Linked DNA regions of Macaca fascicularis. The protein of the gene in region 2 interacts with the protein of the main gene of each other region in a pairwise test. Links are inferred from orthologs where the notes say so. Each region holds a gene or a part of one and is shown on either strand. Other genes may lie near its edges.

Region 1 (4,275 bases), on a different chromosome or scaffold from region 2:
TGTATATATTACATAGTGGTGAAGTCTGGGCTTTTAGTGTCCCCATCAACCAAATAGTGTACATTGTACCCATTAGGCAATTTCTTATTCCTCACCTTCCTCCCACCCAGAACAGTGCTGGATAGGCAGTAAGCACTCCGTAAGGGCTGCTGGTAGTTTTTGTTGTGTTCTTGTTATTAGGCTAATATCCCTGAGTTAATCAAACTTAATTAGCAAGGGAGTATGGCGAGTGAATGAGATAATTTATACAAATACTTTAGCACGTAGTATACAGAAAGTGCTCAATAAGCGGCTGCCATCATCACTACAATTATTATTATTGATCTATCCTCCTCGAATTAAGGGTGTTAATCAGAACCCCAGGGAAGATTCCTGCACTGTCAAAAAGCTGGTGGGCAAGGATTGCCCCACCCCACCCTCCACCAGGGGTATAGGTCCGTGGGGAAGGGGCAGGGCAGGATGGGGTGGGGACTAGTTTTCTACTGACCCACTCACTTGTTTCTTTCACCTTCATTCATGGCCACCCCCTTCCCAATGCTCATTCATTCACCCGCACCATTCCCTGCTTGCTAGGATGGTGCCACTCCTGAGTTACGATCCTGGTGCCAGGTAGCCTCAGTTCGAATCCTGGCCATGTCCTGTGATCTTGGGAAAATTCTTCAGTTCCTCTATACCCCATATTTCCTCATCTGTAAAATGGGAATAATAACTGGTACCCATCTCAGAGATTTGTTGTGAGCTCTGAGTGAGATAAACTATGCTGAGTGCCTGGTATACAGTCGGTGCTATATAAATGCCGGCTATTTGCCTGTGTTTTTTGAGACCCTGGCTTTGGTTCCTGGCCACCTGAGTTCCAGTCTCAGTTCTGCCATGTACTGACTCTATGATCCTGGATAAGTCACTTAACCACTCCATGCCTCAGTTTCCCCATTTTGTGTTCCTCCCCATTCACCTGCCTTATCTCCCTCCACTGCTGCTATTTAATTTGTTTCCTCTCTGCCACCCCTCACCAGCATGTCAGACATACAAAACAAGGGATTTTTGTGTGCTTGGCACACAGTAGATGCACAATAAATGTTGAAGGGCTGAACTCATTTGGGTTTGAGCCATAGGGAGCTTGGGGGATGTGGGTGATTGGATAGATTCTGGAGACTTTAGGGGACTGGGCTGGGGGGAATGCGGCCTCTAAGCTCTCCGCTGAGGCGTCTTGGAAGGAATAGTGACTGACGTGGAGGTGGGGGAGGGGGCTGGCCCGGGCGAGGCCCAGGGAGAGGGAGAGGAGGGGGGTGGGAGAGGAGGAGGGTGTATCTCCTTTCGTCGGCCCGCCCCTTGGCTTCTGCACTGATGGTGGGTGGATGAGTAATGCATCCAGGAAGCCTGGAGGCCTGTGGTTTCCGCACCCGCTGCCACCCCCGCCCCTAGCGTGGACATTTATCCTCTAGCGCTCAGGCCCTGCCGCCATCGCCGCAGATCCAGTGCCCAGAGAGACACGAGAGGTAAGCAGGGCCCGGGATGGCCCAGCAGGAACCGGGGCTGGGCCGCAGCTTGGGTGCTGGCCACCAGGCCCGTGCACTCCCGTGCTAGATGCCTGTCTACTCAGCTTGGCCTGCGGGTACCAGGATCCTGGGCTAGTCTAGGGGGAAGAGGGTCGGAGGCTGGAACCGCTTTCCCAACCCTGAGGCTCCAAACTCCCTAGAACCCCTGACATCCATCCCCAACTCTCCCAAACCCATGACCCCCTAGTATCACAAATGCTTTCCAAATCCCCCGCAAATCCCTTCATCCAGCACTTTCCCTCATCGCCTCCTAAATCCCCACTGCTAACCCCTGCAGCTCCCTGAACTCCCCCATCTCCCCAATCCCCAGTTTCCCAGCTCCCCAGCTCCCAAACTTCTTTTGCCCTCAGATTCCTCAAGTATCACCATTGCCTTAAGCCCCCAAATTCCCCCAACCCCTTCAACCTCCAAACTCCCCCAGCTCCCCAAATCCCCAACCTCCTCCAAATTCCTCAACCTCCCTAAATTCCCCCAGCCCCCTATATCTCTTAATACACACAACCCCTAAACTCTGCCTCCTCCAAACCCCTCCAGCCCCCAATCCCAAATTCCTCACCCCCAAACTCCTCAACCTCCAGAATTCCCCAATCCCCTCATTCCTCAAACTTCCTTAGCTCCCTTCTCCCCCAAGTGCCACAGCTCCATAACCCCGCAACTCAGTCCCTCAATAATTTAAACTTTCCCAACTCTCTAAACCCTAAATTCCTCTGGGCTCCCCAATCCCCTTAAAATCCCCAAGCTTCCCAACCCCTGAAGCCCAAATCCAGTCCCCTAATCCCCCCATAGGCTGCCCCGGGGCAGGATGGGGTGGATGACCTGCCCAGGTCAGCAGATCAGCTGGGCTGGGGCCTGCCTGACATCCCTCTTCCCCACAGAACCCACCATGGCCCCCTTTGAGCCCCTGGCTTCCGGCATCCTGTTGTTGCTGTGGCTGATAGCCCCCAGCAGGGCCTGCACCTGTGTCCTACCCCACCCACAGACGGCCTTCTGCAATTCCGACCTCGGTGAGTCCTCACCCCACTCAGCCCACACACTCTGCCTTGGTTTCCCTCTCAGTCCGGTGGGGCTCACGATGGCACTTACCTCTAGAATGATTCCACTCGCCCCTGCTCTTCCTCTGCTTTAGCCACATTGGCATCCTCACACTTTCTTGAGTACTCCGTGCCCAAGCCCACCACAGGACCTGTGTGCTGGCTGCTCCCTCTGCCTGGTACACTTTCCCCCCAGGTATCCACATGGGTGGCTGCCTCAAATGTCACCTTCTCAGGATGGCCTTCCCTGGCCATCTTGTTTAAAATTTTAACCCCTGCCCCTTAGTACTCCTGATTTCCTGTTAAAGAGAAAAATATTCGGTGATAGTTGTTATAGCACAGTAAGGAAGACCATATTCAGGACAATGGTGATGGGTACAGGAACCACTGCAATGGGATCTTGCTGTCTGGGAGAGAGATTGGGCTCAACACTGAATATAGCATGGGCCAGTGGGAATGTCTGGGCACTCCCAAATATTTGAGGAGTAAATGAACAAATGAATAGATGAAAATGGCTTAAGCAGTGCCTGGCGAAGAGAGACACTCAACATACAGATGAATCAATAAACAAATGTGTAAATCACTTAGTGTGCTGTCTGGCATCCAATAACCCCTATTTATGTATGCACGTTGCTGGTATTATGATGATGATGATCTTATTTTTATTGGCTCATGCAGTCCATTTGACTCATATTTCCCTCCTCTCCTGCAGTCATCAGGGCCAAGTTCGTGGGGACACCAGAAGTCAACCAGACCACCTTATACCAGCGTTATGAGATCAAGATGACCAAGGTATCCCCTGCTCCCGCCCCTTTCCCAGCATTTTCTAACATCTTCCTCCTGGTCAAAACAGAAACTTCTGGCCACTGGTTGGTGCAAGAAAGTTGGCTGTGATCTTGGGATGCTATGTGACTTCAGGGAAGAACCTGGAGTGGGAGGATTATGTCAGTAAAAGAGACACTTCCCCTCATCCATCAACAGATGTATAAAGGGTTCCAGGCCTTAGGGGATGCCGCTGACATCCGGTTCGTCTACACCCCCGCCATGGAGAGTGTCTGCGGATACTTCCACAGGTCCCACAACCGCAGCGAGGAGTTTCTCATTGCTGGTGAGGCACCGTCCCCGCGCCCTGTGCCACGCCAACCAGTCCCTGGGGCGCGGCCTAGCAACAGCGAGGGGGCGAGGCTCTGATGGGAATGGATCCACTGGAAATGGGTACCATCCCAATTTCAGCCTATCAGAAGGCCGGGCCTTTGCTAGCCTGGCGGCTCAGCCAATCAAAAGCTGCTTGTCGGTTACCCCCGCTTTCTCCTTAGGAAAACTGCAGGACGGACTCTTGCACATCACCACCTGCAGTTTCGTGGCTCCCTGGAACAGTCTGAGCTTAGCTCAGCGCCGGGGCTTCACCAAGACCTACACTGTTGGCTGTGAGGAATGCACAGTGAGTACCTGGACCCTGACCTCCAACGGGAGATCCTTCCGCGGCCCTTCCCTAAATCGTGGGCTTGTTCCTTGCTCCCTCTGGCTATTCTGTGTCCCTGTGGCTGCTCCCAAACTCTAAGGGCTGTCCCTGATCTCTCTTGCTATTTCCCCAAGCCCCAGACTGCTCCCTTACAAATTCTGGCTGCTCCCTTGCCCTGTGTCCAATACCGTGTGATCGCCTGTCCCTGGTCCCTCTAACTCTCCCT
Region 2 (4,133 bases):
CATCTAGTGGCAGCACAATAAGGAACCTGACGAATACTCCTTTCTTCAGCTCTCCACTCCTCCTCCACTCCTGCCCGCCATGGTCAGGAAGAGCAAGGTCCGGAATGGGCTTGGTGTGTCCCACAGGAAGGCCGTGATCCTGGAAGATGCTTCTCAGCCCAGCCCGGATCTCCTTCCTTTTGCTCTAGAGACTTCTTTCCTTCTTTGTGTACACACATACACCAAGACTCAGGAAGTGGTTCTTGAGGCAGGACCCTAAGAGCCCAAGGAGTGGGTCCGAGGCTGGAGGTGTGGGGGTGTGACGACCGGTCCCACTTTCTGGCCTGTTCAGATCAGCTCCTTCTGGAGACTACCCCTGGCACACAAGGGAGGGAGGCAGCTTGACCCCCTAGCCCGCTTCCAGCCCTCACCTGGCTTTGTCTTCTGGGATAAGACGAGGAAATCCAGAGGATGTAAGCCTCTACCTTCGTGTCTTCCCCCAAACCCTCGCTATCACAGACGATGCAGGAGCTGTCCGGGAGTTGGGAGGGCAGACCTTGTCAATCCTCCCCCAGAGGGCGGGACCCGACGCGGACGTGTATTGATTGACTGGGTAGCGTGGCTTCGGGGAAGGGCTTCCTCCCCTTTTCTCAGACTAGGAACCCTGGAAAATGGAGAAGCTATGCTAATATAGGGGGGTCAGAAATCCCCACTCTAGAATGCGCTAGAATGTTGGGAGACACCCAGGATGTGAGGCCAGGGACTTTCTGGAACTGTTGGTTCTGGCCCCACCCGACCCCAGGCAGTCCCCAGCTGTCTGCACAGTCGGATGGGGAGGGGGCTTGCACAGAGTTGGAGCCAGAGGAGAGAGCTGGGCTACTGGAGAAGGATGGGGAAACCTCTCTCAGACCACCTTGTCACCCGGCCTCAGCTCTCCGCCCCGGCGCTCAGAGGATAACTCTCACCTAGCTCGTCCGCTTCTCTAAACCAGAGTGACCCAGGCTGCGCTCCGCCCTGCTCTCCTACCCCGAGTTGGCACGGAGGCGGGGCGCCAGAGGGGGGCCCCAGGCGCCCCGAGGTCTTGCCTTTTCGGCTCTCCGTTTGCGGGGGGTGGGCGCCTTCTTCCGGGTAGGGGCCACGTGGCCCTGGCCGGGCGGGGGGCTCGGCCCACCCCGCGCCGGGCCCAGTGACTCAGGCCGCAGCTGTTCCCGCGTCACATGAGGGAGGCCGGCGGCCACTGGGCGGGGGAGGGGACCGTGGCTGGAGCCCGGGGCGGGGCCGCGCGGCAGGCGGGGCGGGAGCCGGGGGGCGCAGCTAGAGAGCCCCGGAGCCGCGGCGGGAGAGGAGCGCGCAGCCTTGGGGAGCCCAGGTGAGGCCGCGGGGCCCCGGCAGACTTCGGCGCGGGCTGGGAGAGACCACCGGCGGTCCCTTCCTCCAGGGCTCGCCCCAGGCCCGCGGAGACTCGCCCGGCGCTCTCCAGCCGCCCTCGAGCAACTTTGATTCGAACTTCCCTGGGCCCGGGCAGGGTGTGGCGGGGGTGCCGGCCGCACCTTTTTTTTTTTTTGGTGGGCGGGAGGTCAGAGCCCAGGGGAAAGCGACTGGGGCAGGGGTCGGGGTTGGGCTGAAGACCGTTTCTCCGGGCTGGGTGTTGGGTGGGGAGAGGGTGTTTGACGCCTGGAGACTGAAGGGCCGAGGGTCGGCGTCAGGCTCGAGCCCCTACCGGCGCCCTCGGATCTATCCTGGGCCCCAGAGGCGGCGGGGCGGGGTCCGGGCTTCGCGGCGGTCGCCCCCACCCCTCTCCTGCGGGTAGAGAGGGGGCTGGGAGACGTGGTTCCGACCGCGGGTTTCCGGGTGGGAGGGGCCGGGAATCGGGGCCGTGTAGGGAAGCCCTCGAGGGCCGGCCAGGAGCCCGGAAACCGAGGTCCCCCTTCGGCCAGTTTTAATCCCCCCGCCCTCCTCTCTGCCCCAGGCCCGGCAGCCATGGCGGTGGAAGGAGGAATGAAATGTGTGAAGTTCTTGCTCTACGTCCTCCTGCTGGCCTTTTGCGTGAGTGGCGAGGGGTCCTGGGGGGCGCGCCGGCAGGGTGCGGGGAGACCTGGCTCCACAGTGGTGAGGGCTGAGGGAATAAGAATTAAGGCAGCTGGAGACCAGATGTGGAAAGAAAGCCAGGGAAAGACAGCGCGGCCACTCCCTCCTCCAGTTTTCCTGGACACCTGAGGCTTGTTTCCACCGAGAATGGCCATCCTGGGTGTGCAGCAACCCCTACCCCCATCCCTCCTTCCTGGCCCTTCCTGTCTGGTGACCCAACCACTTGTGATATGGGGCAGTGGGGCAACCAGCCAACCGCCTGATGCTATCGCCACGAGGCTTCCCTTCGCTCTCCCTTCTCCCCTCTCTTCCTCCCCAACCCCCTCATCCCTCTCCAGTCCCTCTCCCCCTTTCTGTCCTCCCAGCGCTTGGGAGCGAGGAAGGGCTCTGCCCACCTCAATTTGCTCCTGTCCTGGGCTCCTGGCTTGAGAGGCTACTGTTTGTCTAGGGAGGGGCACATCACTCTTGCCGCCTTTTCCTCTTCCCTTCTCCTGGCTTAACTGGCCAGAGGAACCTTAGTCACAGCTGATGCGCGTGGGGTGTGCACTGGAGGATAGTGAGGGAGCAGTTCTGGGAGAGAATTGAGCTGGGAGTACTGGAGGCCCGTAGAAAGCATTATTCTAGGTCAGAAATACGTGCCTTGGGGTCAAGGCTTTCTGGGAGGTCTTTGAATTTGGTCACGTCCCTGATTGAAGAGCTGGGAGGGGATCAAGGGAGATGGGGGCAGGAAAGGATGGGTCATCCCCCTTACCTACAGCCAAAGAAGTTCCCTGGAGGTGTGAGAATCTCTCCTCCGGATGGGGTCATGTCTGTGTCCTAGGTGTACCCCTTGCCCTCCACCATGGAGGACCACTGTGTTGTGGATCAGGCCTAATTCTCACCTGCTTTCCTCTTAGGCCTGTGCAGTGGGACTGATTGCTGTGGGTGTCGGGGCACAGCTTGTCCTGAGTCAGACCATAATCCAGGGGGCTACCCCTGGCTCTCTGTTGCCTGTGGTCATCATCGCAGTGGGTGTCTTCCTCTTCCTCGTGGCCTTTGTGGGCTGCTGCGGGGCCTGCAAGGAGAACTATTGTCTTATGATCACGGTGAGTGGGAGGCGGGACTAACATGGGTGGTCTGGGACTGCCAGAGCAACTTGGTTGGTGCTCAGGAAGGTGGGTGAGGTGAGGTGGGTGAGTGAGGAAGACCTTTGTGAGTGTCCAGGGACCGGCTATGCCAGAACGGGCCCCTGTAATGCATAGACTCCAAACCTGACTCCTGTCCTTTGCTCCTGCAGTTTGCCATCTTTCTGTCTCTCATCATGTTGGTGGAGGTGGCCGCAGCCATTGCTGGCTATGTGTTTAGAGATAAGGTAAGCAGGGAATAATGGGAAGGGCCTGCCTCAGCCTGGTCTGGGACCCAGGTGCTTGAATTCTGACGGCAACAGTGCTCCTCCGTACCCTCAGGTGATGTCAGAGTTTAATAACAACTTCCGGCAGCAGATGGAGAATTACCCGAAAAACAACCACACTGCTTCGATCCTGGACAGGATGCAGGCAGATGTGAGTGGGGTTGCTGGGAGCAGGGGTGATGGGAATAGAGAATTCTCATCTCCAAGGCTGGGTGTGGTGGCTCACACCTGTAATCTCAGCACTTTTGGAGGCCGAGGTGGGCAGATCACCTGAGGTCAGAAGTTTGAGACTAGCCTGGCCAACATGGCAAAACCCTTTCTCTACTAAAAATACAAAAATTAGCCAGGTGTGGTGGTGAGTGCCTGTAATCCCAGCTACTCAGGAGGGTGAGGCAGGAGAATCGCTTGAACCCAGAAGGCAGAGGTTGCAGTGAGCCGAGATCAAGCCACCACACTCCAGTCTGGGCAACAGAGCAAGTCTGTCTCAAAAAAAAAAAAAAAAAAAAAGAATTCTCATCTCATCTCCATATTGATGGTGAAGGTTCACTTAACTCCCTTCTCCATATTTCTTCCCTACCCCAGTTTAAGTGCTGTGGGGCTGCTAACTACACAGATTGGGAGAAAATCCCTTCCATGTCGAAGAACCGAGTCCCTGACTCCTGCTGCATTAATGTCA

The links.
Region 1: the proteins of CD63 (region 2) and TIMP1 interact in binary tests that used the Homo sapiens proteins (3 or more experiments, as listed by UniProt). The link is inferred for Macaca fascicularis from reciprocal best matches to the Homo sapiens genes CD63 and TIMP1.

Annotation. Positions count from the first base shown.
Region 1 is NC_088395.1:47,678,802-47,683,076, forward strand, and holds the start of TIMP1 (metalloproteinase inhibitor 1), read left to right. Parts: upstream 1-1,457; 5' UTR 1,458-1,496; intron 1,497-2,431; 5' UTR 2,432-2,439; coding exon 2,440-2,560; intron 2,561-3,299; coding exon 3,300-3,379; intron 3,380-3,568; coding exon 3,569-3,695; intron 3,696-3,903; coding exon 3,904-4,028; intron 4,029-4,275. UniProt on the Homo sapiens protein: Metalloproteinase inhibitor that functions by forming one to one complexes with target metalloproteinases, such as collagenases, and irreversibly inactivates them by binding to their catalytic zinc cofactor.
Region 2 is NC_088385.1:62,512,070-62,516,202, reverse strand, and holds the start of CD63 (CD63 antigen), read left to right. Parts: upstream 1-1,295; 5' UTR 1,296-1,348; intron 1,349-1,948; 5' UTR 1,949-1,959; coding exon 1,960-2,025; intron 2,026-2,963; coding exon 2,964-3,152; intron 3,153-3,343; coding exon 3,344-3,418; intron 3,419-3,512; coding exon 3,513-3,608; intron 3,609-4,039; coding exon 4,040-4,133. UniProt on the Homo sapiens protein: Functions as a cell surface receptor for TIMP1 and plays a role in the activation of cellular signaling cascades. Plays a role in the activation of ITGB1 and integrin signaling, leading to the activation of AKT, FAK/PTK2 and MAP kinases.